2 linked regions of the Rhinolophus ferrumequinum genome follow. The protein of the gene in region 1 purifies or fractionates together with the protein of each later gene. This does not show direct contact. Links are inferred from orthologs where the notes say so. Each region holds a gene or a part of one and is shown in the gene's direction. Other genes may lie near its edges.

The links. The genes of interacting proteins can lie anywhere in the genome.
Region 2: the proteins of MAP4K4 (region 1) and RAP2C purify together in Homo sapiens (affinity purification with mass spectrometry; 3 studies listed by BioGRID and IntAct, counting the BioPlex papers as one, with this or other methods). This does not show direct contact. The link is inferred for Rhinolophus ferrumequinum from reciprocal best matches to the Homo sapiens genes MAP4K4 and RAP2C.

Annotation. Positions count from the first base shown.
Region 1 is NC_046296.1:3,142,133-3,149,740, reverse strand, and holds the start of MAP4K4 (mitogen-activated protein kinase kinase kinase kinase 4), read left to right. Parts: upstream 1-4,593; 5' UTR 4,594-4,762; coding exon 4,763-4,819; intron 4,820-5,173; coding exon 5,174-5,239; intron 5,240-7,608.
Region 2 is NC_046284.1:23,655,424-23,663,426, forward strand, and holds the start of RAP2C (ras-related protein Rap-2c), read left to right. Parts: upstream 1-4,947; 5' UTR 4,948-5,038; intron 5,039-6,305; exon of another isoform or gene 6,306-6,494; intron 6,495-6,633; 5' UTR 6,634-7,169; coding exon 7,170-7,442; intron 7,443-8,003. UniProt on the Homo sapiens protein: Small GTP-binding protein which cycles between a GDP-bound inactive and a GTP-bound active form. May play a role in cytoskeletal rearrangements and regulate cell spreading through activation of the effector TNIK.

The DNA of each region.
Region 1 (7,608 bases):
GGCAGAGAAGTTGAGCATTTGCTCAACACCTTGTCCATTAGAGAATAAGAACTCAGACCTCTGACCCCTAAACCTATGCTTTTCCTTTCTGAGCTCTTCCTGCACACACCCCACCATTGTTTTCTTTGTTTGACTCAATTCCCCTTGCTTCATCATTTATTTCCAGTTGACCCAAGTCCTCTATGCCCCTGAGCCCCTCAGTTATATTCAGGCTCAGTTTCACAGCTCTGCTGCCCTCCTTGCCCTGCCCCATTCTAAGGTTGAAAATCGATTTCCACCAATATTTTAACAATAAACAAAAAAACTAGGAGATATGTAAAGTGATGTACAGGGAGTTGTCATTTTTGACCTCTTGCATAATTAAGCTTCCCCTGGAATTTCTGTGACTGGGTGTGAGCTGCTTGTACCCTGGGAAGATGCACATTTATATCCCTTGGCCTGCTGAACCCATAAGCTCTCTCCTGCCATCAGAACTCTTAAAGCCCAAGGCTAGGCCATATCTCCCTTGACTTAATTGATACTCTGGGTTTGTTTTTTAATCCCCACATCATTCATTCCTCGGTTTTGTCTTCTGGTGCCACCTAACCTGTCCTCTAGCTTTATCTCTCAGAGTTCTCTGAACTGAGTCCTCTGACCCAGTGTGGTCAGTTTCCTCATTCTTTCAACTTCTCATTCTTTGTCCAACTAAGCTATTTTTCCTTCAGCCTAAAATGCCAAATTAGTATTATTTTCCAAATTATTATCTCGATTATCTCTTTGGGTGGGTTTATTTTGTATTCTCAAATAGATTCCTGAGTACAAGGGCCATGACTTAAGTTTATTTCCTGACATCACGTATTGCACATGGCTTGTTATAGACTAAATGTGTCCCCCAATATGTTGAAACCTTAAACCCCAGTGTGGCTGTATTTGGAGATGTGGCCTGTAAGGAAATAATTAAGTTTAAATTCATAGAGGTCATAAGGGTGGGGCCCTGTTCCGATAGGATAAGTGTCCTTATCAAAAGAAACACCAGGGAGCTTGTCCTTTCTTTCTGTGTACTAGTTCTCAGCAAAGCCCATGTGAGGACACAGTGAGAAGGCGGCCATCTGCAAGCCAGGAAGAGAGCTCTCACCAGAAATCAAATCATCTGGAACCTTGATCTTCTAGCTTCTAGTACTGTAAGAAAAGAAATTGTTATTTAAGTCACCCAGTCTGTGGTATTTTATGATGGCAGCCTGAGCTAATCTGTGCCTATTGAGAACATGGCCCCTACCCTTGGAGCTTGAGCAGAGTAGCATGCTGGGCAGGGGTACCCTGCTTCTGTATGAAAAGTTGTCTTTGCACACAGTCCAAATCCAAAGCCCAACCTTCCTTTGCCACCACCATACAGAAACTCCCATCTTTTCCTCTGCTCATGACAGCATCCTCCCAAGTGTGGACAAAGCTCCAAACCACAAGCAAAAAAAAAAAAAATTTTTTTAAACATTTTATTGGGGAAGGGGAACAGGACTTTATTGGGGAATAGTATGTACTTCTGGGACTTTTCCAAGTCAAGTTGTTGTCCTTTTCAATCTTAGTTCCAGGTCCAGGTGCCATTTTTAGTTGCAGGGGGCGGAGCCCACCATCCCTTGCCAATCTTAGTTGCAGGGGGCGGAGCCCACCATCTCTTCCGGGAATCAAGGAGAGGAACCTGCAACCTTGTGGTTGAGAGCCTGTGCTCCAACCGAGTCATCTAGCCATCCCACACGAAAAATTTTAATGTCGTCTACACTGCTCTGGCATCCCATCAGATGCCAAGTCGTAAGAGAGTTGACTAGCCCAGGCGCTATTACCTGGCCTGTGCTCTTGAGATGGCCCTTTTACTGTACTTCTTACCTCATCTTCATCTCGTATACAGAACAGGAAACGGAGGCTCAGAAGTCAAGCAACTTGTGCAAGGCTACACAACTAATGGGAAGTTGGGTTCAAATCCAGTTCATCTTTGCCCTGAATCCAGCCTACTTCCCATTGGACCTCTTTCCATCCCGCCAGAATTTATTATGTTCTGCCATTAACTATAGCTATTTATGAAGCTGTCGTACACCCATTATCAGACTGTAAGCTCTGAGGATAGGCTGCCTTAATCTTCCTTGTATCTCAGGCAGTGGCTAAGCCAGGGCCTTGTGCTGGGTAGGCACTTCAAGAAAAGGTACTGAGTGGAAAGTGGGACATGACCGTCATAGTGGTGATCATGGGAAATTGTAGCTCAGGAGATTTTGAGAAAGCTGGTAGAAGGAAGAGATGGTTTCTGATTTGAGCTTGAGGTGATGGAGAGGATTTGGGTAGGCAGAGAAGAAGGGGTGGTCTGAGGCGGGCCTCAAAGTCATGAGTTTAGAGTTGAGGCTGGCTTGGCGGGCTCCCGGGCCCTGGTGTTTCTGCCTTGAGTTCAGCTGTGCACACTAAGCAAGTCACTTCACTTCTTTGGACGTTGGTTTCCTAATGTGTAAAGTTGGAAAAGTAAGAGTGCCCACTGTTTGGGGTTAATGTGAAGAATAATGAGATAATGTATGTAAAGGACTCAGCACATCGTCTGGACCCAATATGTGTTATCTATTATTCATAATGAACACTACTAAAATATTACTCTAATGTGGTCTGAAAGTTCACATGGGCACCAATCTAGCTCTCTGAGAAAATTATTTAATTTACACTCATAGATAACGCCGTTGCTGTTGCTAAGTTAAAAAACAAAATCATTTAAAAGCACTACAAAATTCACAAGAACACTTTGGTTACTATGATTTTCCTAACCAACGGATTCCAGGAGTCCTTGAAGGTACCTTAGTTTTACAAGGCATTCTCATGGTGCAAAATCATGGAAACCAAACTGTTGGGAGGCAGGAGAGAGCTAAACATACGTGGGGTAGAAGACTAACCTCGCTGAATCAGAGACTTGGGTTTTGGGGAACAGGCTGACCTGGTGAGAATCCCGGCTCCTCTTGCAGGCTATGCTTTTAAGGACTTTAGGCACATTACTTATCTTCGAGTACTTTGGTTTCCTCACCCCTAAAATAAGGATAATATCACTCCCGGGCTAGGGGAGGGACTAAATCGGGTATTGTGTACAAGGTGACAATCGATGATGATGGTGATGTATGTGAAGCCTAGTTATGAAGGGCCTTGGATTTTCACCCTGTGAGGCTGCTGCTCTCAGTGTGGCCCCTGTGACTGCAGGTTAGCCTCATCCAGGACTTGTTAGAAATGCAAATCCTGGGGCAGCCTGTTGGCTCAGTTGGTTAGAGCGCAGTGCTCATAACACTAAGGTCGCCAGTTCCCACATAGGCTAGTGAGCTGCGCCCTCCACAACCAGAGTGGAAACAATGGCTTGACTTAGAGCTGAGGGGTCCTCCTGGAAAAACACACTGTTCCCTTCCCCCCCCCCAAAAAAAAGCAAATTCTCAGGCCTATTCCAGACCAGCTGAATCAGACACGCTTGAGGTGGGGTCTGCAATCAGTGCTTTTACAATCCCTCCTGGTGAATCTGTGAATTTAGGCTTGAGAAACTGCTGTGAGGTAATAGGGAGCCATTGAAGGTTTTTGTACAGCAGAGTGATGTGATAAAAACGATGGTTGTGCACAGACAATAGCTCTTGGTTAACAGGATTAAGTTGTCTGACCACCCACAAGCTTCCAAAGTGTCTGGAAGATGCCTGTTTATTGATCCTTAATGATCTCTAGGCACAAAACTCGGGTTAGTACTTATGACCCCAAACACAGTGTTCGCCTGAGTTGGGTAACTCAGCACGAGAGGGGCTGTTTGGGAATCTGTTTCCATCCATCCAAAGACTTGGGACCGGGCAGCCAAGGGATGCTCAGCGAATCCCGCCACTACAACCGAGTCACAAATTTAGCCTGGAGAAGGGACAAGACAACCATGTAGGGAAATCGGAAATGAGGGTCTTGAGGGTGGAGAATAGGGTGGTGGGAGAAGGAGATGGGGATAAGTGGGAATGAAGCGAAAGGGAGGACCGTGCTCTGCTTGGGTACACCCCCTTCGAGTCCCTTTAGAGGGACAGTGAGAGAAGGGTCCGGCCGCCTCTCGGCCTTTGGGTCCAGGTCAGTGCTCCTTGCTTATTGTTAGTGCGAGGTAGGGGCGCCTTCCTGCTCTGAGGACATCCCCGGGGCCACCCCAGGCGTGTTCCTCCGAGCTCCGGCCACGGGGAGAGCGCGGCGCGGGGCCGCCGGCCGGCCATTGTTCGGCCCCACCCCTGATGCATATTCACGCCGCGCGGGCGGCTCGCCCCGCGCCCTCCCCAGCGGGGCTTCGGTGGGAGTGCGTTTCCGCCCGTTTTTCCTGCCGGAGCAGGAAAGGGGGAGCTGTTTTCTCTCTCCTCGGAATATATTTTCGGTGTCCCGTGTCCCCTCCTCCCTCGCCGCCCGCCCCCCTCCCGCCTCCCTCCCCGCTCCGCCCCCGCCGCCCGGGTAGCTTTGTCTCGCGGCCTCGCGCTCACTCGCTCAACTCTCGGCGGCGCCGCGGCCCCAGCTCCGGGCCCGTCAGCAGCGCGCGGCGCGGGCGCGGGGCCTGAGGCGCGGGCGACGCCCGGGGGCTGCCACCGGCCGCGCCATGGTGTGAGCGGCGCCGCCGCCCCGCGCACGCTCCGTCCGCCCCGGCCTCGCCAGGCGGAGTCCGGGCCGCCGGCGCCCGTGCGAGAAGGCGCCGTCGGCGGCCTGGCCTGCGACGGAAATCATCCCGAAATCGGTATCTTCATCCTCACTCTTGGTCTGGTGGCCAAAAGGGAAGATGGCGAACGACTCCCCCGCAAAAAGTCTGGTGGACATCGATCTCTCGTCCCTGCGGGTGAGTGGCCGCGACGGGCCGGGCGCAGGGGCGCCGGGGCGCGCGGGGCGCGGAGCGCGGAGCGCAGGGCGCAGGGGCCGCGCCCTGGGCCGCTCGGCGCTCGGGCGCCGCCGCGGGCAGAGCCGCGGGCGCGGCGGCCCCTTTGTCTGCCAGTGTCGGCATGTGCGGGGCCGGGGTGCCCCCGCCGCCGCCCCCAGCGTCCCGGGCTCTGCACCCGCGACCCTCGGCTGCTGGAGGACATCGCCGGGCGAAACCCACCTCTTTGTAACCGCCCTTTCTCTCCAACTGCCCCGCTGTATTGATTCATTGTTGTGCAGCTTTCAAATGATAACCCCTCCCCTCCTTCTTGTCTAGGATCCTGCTGGGATTTTTGAGCTGGTGGAAGTGGTTGGAAATGGCACCTACGGACAAGTCTATAAGGTCGGTGTGGGGCGCCTTCTTTGTTTCCCGTGGCATGTTGAAACTTCTGGTCGGGGGACCAGAGGGGTGATAAACACGCTGCTGCTGACTGGAGGCCACGCCAGTTGGCCAAAGTTGGGAAAGGGGTTTCTCCTCGCAGGCCCTCTGTTTTCAAACAGTTTACATCCAGACTGGCCTTAAAAGACCTCATTTCCTGGCTTTGAGATAAGGAAATAAGCTACACTCTTAGGCATGCACTATAATAAAAGGGGAAAGCATTTTTTTTTTCTTTCCATAAGACAGTCTTCATTTTCTTTTTTTTCGTTTTCCCCAAATCTGGCCTTCTGACTTTGTGTGTTAATTAAAATTCAGGCTAGGCAGGCCTTGCCCATGGTTATCCTAAACCACTGCCTTGGCCTTCTTGAAAATTGTCATCGTGTTTCCTCGTTTGAATGCTTGCCAAGCTCTCAAGGTGTGGAGTTTGTTGCTACCTGGGACACTATAACTTTGTCATACAGTCTACTGATGGATACATATTTTGGAGAAGCAGGGAGCGCTTGTGTTTGGGCCACAGGAGCAGGAAGAATTGCAGTGTGAGGATTATAAAATCTGAATTCCAGGAATAACCTGTTTGACAGGTGTGTAATTGAAACAGAAATGAGGGAGAGTGAGGAGTAAAGAGGTTGCCCAGCTTTCACACCCATCCCAGGTCTTTCTCTCTTTTTTAACACTCACCCCGCAATGGCAAATGAATCTAACAAACCTGGAGACTGTGAGTCTGCCTTGAGTAGCTGACACCTGATGTGACTAGCTGTGCTGTTCATTTTGTCCAGTGCACATTCTAGAGATTATGAAGGAGCTGTAGGTAATGGAGGCGCAGGCCTTGAACATTTGAAACAGAAGGTTAAATCTCCCTGTCCTGATTTGTTTCTTATACTAGCCGTTTTCTAAAAGTTATCTGCCCTGGGGGTGTTTGCAGCTGTTAGAGTGGGTACAAGGTTGGAATAGAAAAAAATATCTTATGAAGCAGGGCTTTGTGGTTCACCATGAAGAATTGTCATTGTCTCATTAATAATGAGAATGGGGGGGGCATGGAAGCTGACTGTAGACATTTTCTTAGGGCGAATTAAGTGTGGATCCTATTGTCTGTTTTTTGCTGAATGAATAGGGTTTATCTGTCCCTTGAACGTGTCTCCCCAACCCCAGTGTCCCCTGGACAGGCTGTGTACTGGCCGGTGGTCTGAACTTGAGTCAGGATTCTTAGGTGATCTCAAGTGAATTAGACTGTGTTTTGTTGGTTAACTGTTGGGGCTGTGGCCAGATTTTTGAATTTGAAAGGAGCCCTGTTAACTCAGCCTGCTGGCTCAACTGAATTTGGAAGCCTTTGGAAAATTTTGGAAAAGATTGTGTTGCAACTCATTGAGTGGCCTGGTAACTGGCTTAAAGACGTTTGCCCTAGCCCCAGTGTTTGTTTAAACACCAGTTGTTTTTTTCTAACCCAGTTTTTCTGGCTAAATCTAAATGGTGAGTATACTCTTCCAAGTGAGTTAGCCAAAGCTTGTTTTTGACCTGGTTACACGGTGGTTGGATTGTATCTTCCTGGGTGAGCATGGATGTGAAGGGTGGTGAAGTAAACCAGAAGCTGACAGTCTGTTTTTCAACCACAAGAAAGAAGAAAGAATGAAACCTCAATGTGTATTAATTGGTTTTAAGGTAGGAGTTCTTTTTGCTAGCTGGTTCATTAAACCTTTTTCCCCTCCGCATTTCCTCTTTGGTTCCATCCTCTCTTTCACCCAAGTTTTTGAAATAGATTTCCCGAGTACTGCATTTGGGAAGTATTTGGGATATTGACAGTGACACAGCTCTCTGACTGCAGAGTCTGTACAGTTGAGGAGAAATTCTGAAATTGTGCAAATCTAAAGAATTAAGAAACCTGTGCACAAGTGGCATACAATCACGAACAGAACAGTGCCTGAGACTTTGCTCATCAGCAGTCCTGTTTTATCATTTTGGAAAATTTCGACATACCCAAGGGGAGAGAGTAGATCGCATAGTTTAACAGTTACCGGCACGTGACTAATCTGGTATCTGAGGTCTTCCTCCCCTCCATTATCTTAACCATTTCACCCATAAATACTTCAGGATGTACCTTTTTTGTTTTTTAGATAATCACAGTGCCATTCTCACACCTAAAAAATTAATTCCTTAGAACCAAATACTGAGTATTAACATTTTCCTGATTGTTTCATACATGTTTTCTTACTATCACAAGTTCTTTAATATTTATGAACTGGTGCTGGGCAGTTTAGTCCTAGAGGTGATGGAGCTAGCAGAAACAGTTAACATCTCCGTTTCTTCTCCCTTCAACTGTATAATTTCTAGAGCCATTT
Region 2 (8,003 bases), on another chromosome or scaffold:
GGAGCCATAGATAGGGGAGTCATAACACTATATTCTTGCTGGCGGCTGGGTTGGAGACACAGGAAGCAGAAGACACACTATCTGCAAACTGCCGTCCACTTCTCTCTGGCATCCAACCTCACTTGCTAGCTGCAATCTGCCGTGCTAACTGCAATCCGCTATTGCTAGCTCAGCCACCATCTTCTTCCTAGGCCCCCAATTGCTGCTAGCTTAGCCACGGCGGATATATTAGTGGCCAATGGCTCACTGGTTACAGCTGACGGCCAACTAGCCACAGCAGATGGCCATCCAATCACAGTTGCTGGCCATTTACTACTTGAGCCAGCACCTTTCCACGTGAGGCCGAGAGCCTGGAAAGTGCACTCCTGGCTCTGTCCCCACAGAGAGGGAAAACGATTAAGGAGTTCAGATCTGTTTTAGGTACACTCTATTTAATAACCCACTGAGCTCCAAGGAACTCAGCTGTCACATCTGGAAAATAACAGTTTTGTGTCTCTGTAGGTATGTTTGCCTGGCCAGGCTTGGGTAGTGGCCTCTGTGGTAAGCAGACCTTGCCATGAAATTTCACTGATTGGATGAAGATTCCAGGTGGGCAAGGTTGAATGTGATTATATGCTAATTGGAGTTGTAGGAAAGCTAAAGGTATGGGGGAGAAGGCGTATTCAGGCAATGAGGGATACATGACTACTTTTAATACTTTATGCAGGTATGAAGTGTCAGTCAGTGAAAGAGGTAGCTTACAGAACAATATGACCCCACTTTTAGTTTTAAAAATATTTTTTTTACCTTCAGAGAAAAAATTTTTGAAAGGCACTAAAATATAATGGTGACTACCTTTAAAAAATATTTTTTTGCAAGGAACATTTTTTTATAATAAGGTAAAGATAGTAAAGGTATAAAATTGGTTCTGTGTACCTAGGGAGACTGATATGCAGAGCCAATAGCTGGTGTAGCTTGAGGCAGGATTTGGAGGCTAGAAAGGGCTGGAAAGAACACAATCTGCTACCAAGGGGCCTCCCAAAGGCCTGAAATAAGAAGAGAAGATTTGCCCTGCTGAAGATTTCCGTAGGCAAAGACTGAGGACCCTACTGACTCAGCTTTCTACTAACTGGAAGGCAACTTCAAGCAAAAGAGAAGGAAAGTACTGGGGCATGGAAAGAACAGGGCTCGGTTTTTCTCCCCAGGACCTGGAAGGTGGGTGAGAGGGCTCACTTGGAGGGTGGAAGTGAGGGAAAATTATCCAGAACAGTTTATGGCTCCACGGCTCAAAACTGAAGGATGCCTGAAGTGGAAGGGAGGGATAAGAGAAGTGAACAACTGGTGCCTGAAGCAAACTATTTAGCAATTTAAACTTGTGCCAAGTTAATTGCATACAACAAGATTATGTACCTGTAACTTCTGTATTCTGCGTATGGTTTATACCCTAAGATTTCTTCATACTATGGTAAAATCGGCTGTTCTTGAGAATGATTGCCCGAGCAATAATTACTATGGAATGGAGGTTGACACAGAATTAAAGCAGAAGTTCTAAATCTCAAGGTCATACTCGCTAGAGAAGTTACCCTCCCCCCATCTTTGAGCCTTGGGAGTGGAAAGTTATTGTTTGAGCAGTTTACATTTATTTTTTATTTTTTTAAATGTCTCTGCGTCATCCACTGCTTTAGTTGTATGTTGATGTCTTTTAGTTTTTTTTTAATTAAAGTTTATTGGGGTGAAAATTGTTAGCAAAGTTACATAGATTTCAGGTGTACAGTTCTGTAATACATATCTACATATATCACGTCATGTGTTCACCACCCAGAGTCAGTTCTCTTTCCATCACCATATATTGGCTCCCCTTTACCTTCATCCACAACCCCTCTCCCTCCTTACCCTTTGATAACCATTAAACTATTGTCTATGTCTGTGAGTTTTTGTTTCTTCATTTGTTTTTCTTGTTCTTTTGTTGTTTTCAGTTTTATGTACCACATGTCAGTGAAATCATATGGTTCTCGACTTTTTCTGTCTGACTTATTTCACTCAGCATTATAATCTCAAGGTCCGTCCATGTTGTCGCAAATGGTACTATTTCATCTTTTCTTATGGCAGAATAGTATTCCATTACATATATATATATACGTATATATATACGTATATATATATACGTATATATATATAGTATATATATATATACGTATATATATATATATATATACGTATATATATATATATATATACGTATATATATATATACACACCACAACTTCTTTATCCGATCGTCTATCGAAGGACACTTTGGTTGTTTCCATGTCTTGGCCACCGTAAATAAAGCTGCAATGAACATTGGAGCACTTATATCTTTAAGGATAAATGTTTTCAGATTTTTGGGGTAGATACCCAGGAGAGGGATTGCTGGGTCATATGGTAATTAAGCAGTTACTGTTTGGGTGCCTAAGTGCTTTGAATGACGTGCCTCTTTTATTCTTCAAAGGAGTCCTACAAGCCAGATCCACTAGTATGCCCAACTTTACAAATGAGGGAATGGAGAGCTAGTTGGCAAAGGGCAATATTAGGCTTGTCTGGCTCTGAAGCCCAAATTCCTTTTATAATACTACCCTGCATTTGTTAGTCCTGAAAATACCCTAACATGAGTAACAGTAGCTAAGAAATACTAAAATTAGTAATACCTAGGATGAGGTGATAAACAGTTACCATCATACTGTGTTGGTAGGAATGTGAATCGGTGATCTTCCTGAAGGATAACTTGGCAATATTTACCAGAATAATTTAAAATGCAAGTACCAGTTGTTTCAATTATTCAGCTACTGAAAATTCACCCAAAAAATAACTAGCAAAGATATACCAGGGGTGCCAAAATATGTACACATTTTAAGAGATATTATCTATGTATTACTTTTCGAAGTTGAATGGAATTACGGTAGCAATATGTAGTATGATGTTAGCTCAAAAGATGGAGTTAATCAAATGAATGCTAGCGTCATTCATGGTATTACAATTTTAATAGTTGTAGTTGTATTAAAATTGTAATACCATGAATGACGCTAGCATTTTTCCTTTTAAAAAATGTGTATACATTTTTTTAGCACCCTCTGTATGTATGTGGAAGATGTTCAGTGTAAGGAACTAGAAGCAACCAGTGTCCTTCAGTTGCTGGAACTGGTTAACTAAATCATGGTTCAGCTGTTAAAAAAAAAACATGAAGTACATCTATATGTTCTCAACTGGAAAATTCACCAAGATATAGTAAGTGAAAAAAGCAACGTGCAGAATGCTGTGTATTGTCAGATTACTTTTGAAGTAATTTTTAAAAAATACATATAGAAGACAGATTGATAGATATACTAATATATAAACAACATTTTTTTTTCTCTGAAAGGCAATACAAGAAACTTTTAACAATAAATACCTTTAGAAAGAGTAGTTGTGTTATTATTTTTGTGCCACTTGGAGATATTTGGGCTTTTCAAGTTTTGTTTTCCTCTCTATGTGTGCTGATTTTTTTAAAAATAACACTTTATTAACTCTTTTAAATAGAAATCAAATAGCTAGCATTTATTAAAGGTTCATACAGAGCAAGGGACTGTGCTTATATATTTTACATATAAAACTTCATTATATTCTCACATTAAATGATTAGCTCTATTTTACAGGTGAAGAATTAGAAGCTCAAATGGGTGAAATCATTTGCTTGAGGTCCCACAGCTAGGAACAGCTAGGAGGTGGAGGAGCTGCCATTTAAATGCCTGTCTGCCTCAGTTCAGAGCCTTTGGCTTTCAACTGCCAGGCAGTGCTCTTCTAATTGGTCTTTACACTCTCGTTGCCTAATAAAAGTAAACTGGTGAACAACTGGAATCTAATAAGATAATGTATGTTAAAATACTTTTCTAAGTATAGATATATTTGTGGAGGAGAATAAAGAAAGGGGGAGGGAGTTTGTTTAAATTGGGCAGACCTGTGCACTGACCCCTAGACAGTCAGGATGTAGAGGAAGTTGTTTTTGAGTAAGTGATCAACAACTTCCTTTTGTTTCTCCTTTAAAAATATTATAAAATTATATTTATTCCCTTTCCCCAATAATACCTGATTGTTTAAAATTTAAATGATATGAAGGATTAAAAGTCCTTTTATAATACCCCTCACAGATAATTAATGACTGTTTCAGATTTTAATGGCTATATAATATATATTGCACAGTTTACATAAATGAGAGCAACTATCTATTTGTTCAGTATCTTGCTTTTTTTTCAGCCTTACAATATATTATGGTATCTTTTCATATCAGCACTTCCGAATCTACTTATCTCTTTTTTAGTAGCTGCATAGTATCCCGTTTTGTGAATGCGCACACACACACACACACACACACACACACAATTTTCAATCACCTATTATAGGACATTTAAATTACTTCTGATTGTTTGCTTTCATAAATGCTGCTGTAATGTATTCCCTTACCAAAAAAGTTTAGAAGGAGCTTCAGACCGAGTGTAACATTTATCAACGCTGTAGTTGCTGAGAGTGACCCAATAGAACTCTGTACTGAGAGGAGGATTATGTTTCACTGTGTGGAGAAACAAAAGAACTTTCTCCCGAACACTTTGGCCAACACGTTCAGGACTATTACAGTTGCCAACAGGTGGGATGACCTCAAAAGGAAGAGCTCCCTGTTTTGACAATTTAGTAACAGAGCAGAGACTTGGTACTACTGTTCAACACTGATTGCTGGATCAGAAGAGGAATTTCCAGACTCAGTTACAAGCAGGGCTGGTGCAGGCTGTGGATTCCACCAGACAGTCTGGAGACAGCTAGACAGGGAGATGGGCAGCAGAGCTCCAAATCAGGCAACGGCACGTGTGGAAGTAGCAATGACCTATGGGGAGACTCATAACTCATAGACCAAACCTCTTCCAGCAGAGGGCAGTGCCTCAGATATCAGGCGGGACTCCGGCCAGCTGGAGCCAGAGCTGGGGACCTCTCTGAACAGATTGCTCCAGCCCTGGGCCGAGGAGAAATTGAACTAAACTGTCCTTTGGATACTGTAAGTGACATTGGGGAATACTCAGGGAGAGACACAGTGGGACTTCACACTACTGTGAGTTACATGTTTTCTAGTATCTAACAATCTGGGTTTGGTAATCTCTTTTAATACAGTCTGGCCATTAGGACTTGCAGGTAAGGAAATATGCAGTCAGTTTAATTAGACTGGCCACGGAATCTCTCAGGTTTTTGGGTGCGTGCTTGAATCAAAAAGGGAGTAACATGCCTAAAAAATAACCTAGCTTTCTGGGCCTGTGGATCTGACACAAAGTTTACAAGTAGAAAGTTAGCAGAGGAAAGATATGTAAGAAGTAACAATTTTATCTAAAAATAGAAAGTTAATATTTAACACTAGAGTCCTGTGCTTTCGAATTTCAATGACTATGGAGGATGGCTGTTAAAAGAAACCTTAACATGGAAGAGCTAGCCATACAAATAGCTGTACATGCAGATAATGAAAGATTAAAAGAAGTTAGTAAATTGAACAATTTACAATCAACTCTTCCCTGTATATTGGTTACCTTTCCCTGCTGTGTAGCACTTGGAATCAGGGGCAAAGCTGAGTTAGAGTACCTGGAAAGTCTATTGGTAAACCTTTTGTTTTCCAAGCCTGGTGACAAGAAAGAAAAGGAGTGACTTTGGCATTTGCTAATGGAATCAAGGCAGATTTTCCAGTTGATAAAAGTACTGTGTTTAATTATGTCAGGCACAGCCAAGTAAAACACACCACCACATACGAAATCAGAGCAATAATGAAGTCTAAAGGTAGTTTGCACGAGTTTTTTAAAAAAAGATCAAGGAGAAGAAATACCAGCAAAGAGAATAAACTTTCTTGGCTGTTTTATTTTTCCTGCCACTTCTAGTCCAGGGATGTTGGGCATTCTCCCGGTCATTAGATCATTACTGGCTGTCCCGCACAGGCCAACGAGGGGATCAAGTCCTCCGGCAGAGCTGGGGGCGGCTGAGACGCTGAGGGGCTTCAATACCTTTGGGGATGGGACTAGCAGCAGAAGCAGCAGCAGCTGCTGGTGGGGAAAAGAACGACGCTGAAGGTTCTCAGAGAGGCCCTTGCCAAGGCCATAGCCCCGACCAAAAACTGTCCCCAGCCGTCTCGCCCAGCAGGGCGCGGCCCCAGCGCCACTCCGCTCACTCCGAAGAGGTGGGACTTTCCCCACCGGAAGTGATCCGGTCCAGTCTCAGGGAACTGGGACACCTCAGCCAGTGTGTCAGGGAAACCCTTCCGGGTGTGTACTGGCGGGGGGGGGGGAGTGAATGAGAAAAAAAAAGAGGTGGGTTCGCCTGGAGTCCCTGCGGCCGCCGCCGCCGCTGGACGGCTCCCGCCCCTCTCCCCTCTGCGAGCAGCAGCGCTGGGGCGGCGGTAAGACAGAAGCCGGCCCGTGGCCATGGCCTTGGTGTGACACAGCCTCCCGGGCGGCCGGGCGGGTGCGGACTGCAGGGTAAGCGGGTTGCTTCGGCGTTGGTGGAGGCAGCCGGGTGGGGGTGGGGGGTGGAGCTGGGGGAGGCGGCAGCAGGGGCTGCTGCTTTGGGGCTGGAGGGGGTCAGGCGGGTAACGTGCGCCCCTTTCCCCTATAACAGGCCGGACGACGCCCGTGGGAGCCGCGGCCCACAGACCCGCCCGGCAGCAGTGACGGGAGTGGAGCCCACAGGCCTGGGCCGGCTCAGCGGCGCTAGCAGGAAGCGGGGTCCCTGGGCCCCTTTGTGTGAAGGGCGGGGGAGGGGTGCGGGCAGCCCCTAGCTGCGGGCTCCTCGGACGTCCGCCTGCCTGCCGGAGCCCCACGATCGGCAGCCTCCAGCCCCTGCCTCCAAGGGCGCATTTCATCTCCCTACCCTTGCTTGGCTTCTCCAGGCGCGCCCTCCTCCCCACGCCCCCTGCCTGGGGTTCAGTTCCTATAGGAAGGGCATTACCATCCCATCCCCACCCACCCCGACACTTCGCTCTCTCCCCTCCCCCGCCCTTAACTTCCTCTTCGTCCCGCGTTGGGCCCTCTGTTTCTCTGCACTCTCCTCCCCAGTTCGCAGATTTCCGCCCACCTTCCACCTCCCCGAGCGCGCCGCTGCTAGCGGGGCGTTATTTTCCCTCCCTCGGGTAGGAGTTAGTGAAGGTGAGACTCATGAGGGAATACAAGGTAGTGGTTTTAGGGAGCGGAGGGGTTGGCAAATCTGCCCTGACTGTGCAGTTTGTCACTGGGACTTTCATTGAGAAATATGACCCCACCATTGAAGATTTCTACCGCAAAGAGATCGAAGTGGACTCTTCTCCGTCGGTGCTGGAAATTCTGGACACCGCAGGAACTGAGCAGTTTGCCTCCATGAGAGATCTCTACATCAAAAACGGCCAAGGTTTCATCCTGGTTTATAGTCTGGTTAATCAACAGTCTTTTCAGGTAACCAAACCAAGTCTTGTAATTTGTAAGAAGGGGGTGTGGTAATCCTACTTCTGGTTTGCTTGAACCGTGCGTTAATGACTATGTTTTGCTTTTGAAAGTTAGACATGGCGCATTTTTGAGGTTACTCCTGGCACGGAAAAGTATTGGGTTCTTTCTATAGAGAATACTAAAGTAAAAAGTGTCAACAAATATTTTAAAGTTATTTTTAAGTCGAAGAAAAGTGAAAAGGGTCAGAAAAAAAGAAACAGTTCAGTTTGTGTATATTTAGCATGGAATATAACCTTCTGAAGTTGCTTATTCAGTTCAACAAGTATTGATTAATGTACTCAACAAAACAACATTAGCAGATAAACCCGGTTAAATAGAGCACTTTGAAAGGAAAATTATTTGGAGTCCATCATCTGTGCAACTTTTCCCACCTCTGTGTCTGCTTTTCCCACCACCCACCCCCTCTCTGTTTTCACTCAAGTTTCTCAACCAGAATCTTAGTGCTGCAGGATGAAGAATTCAAGACCTGCCTTCTAGGTATTATACTTACTTGGGGCATGTGAAGGAAGG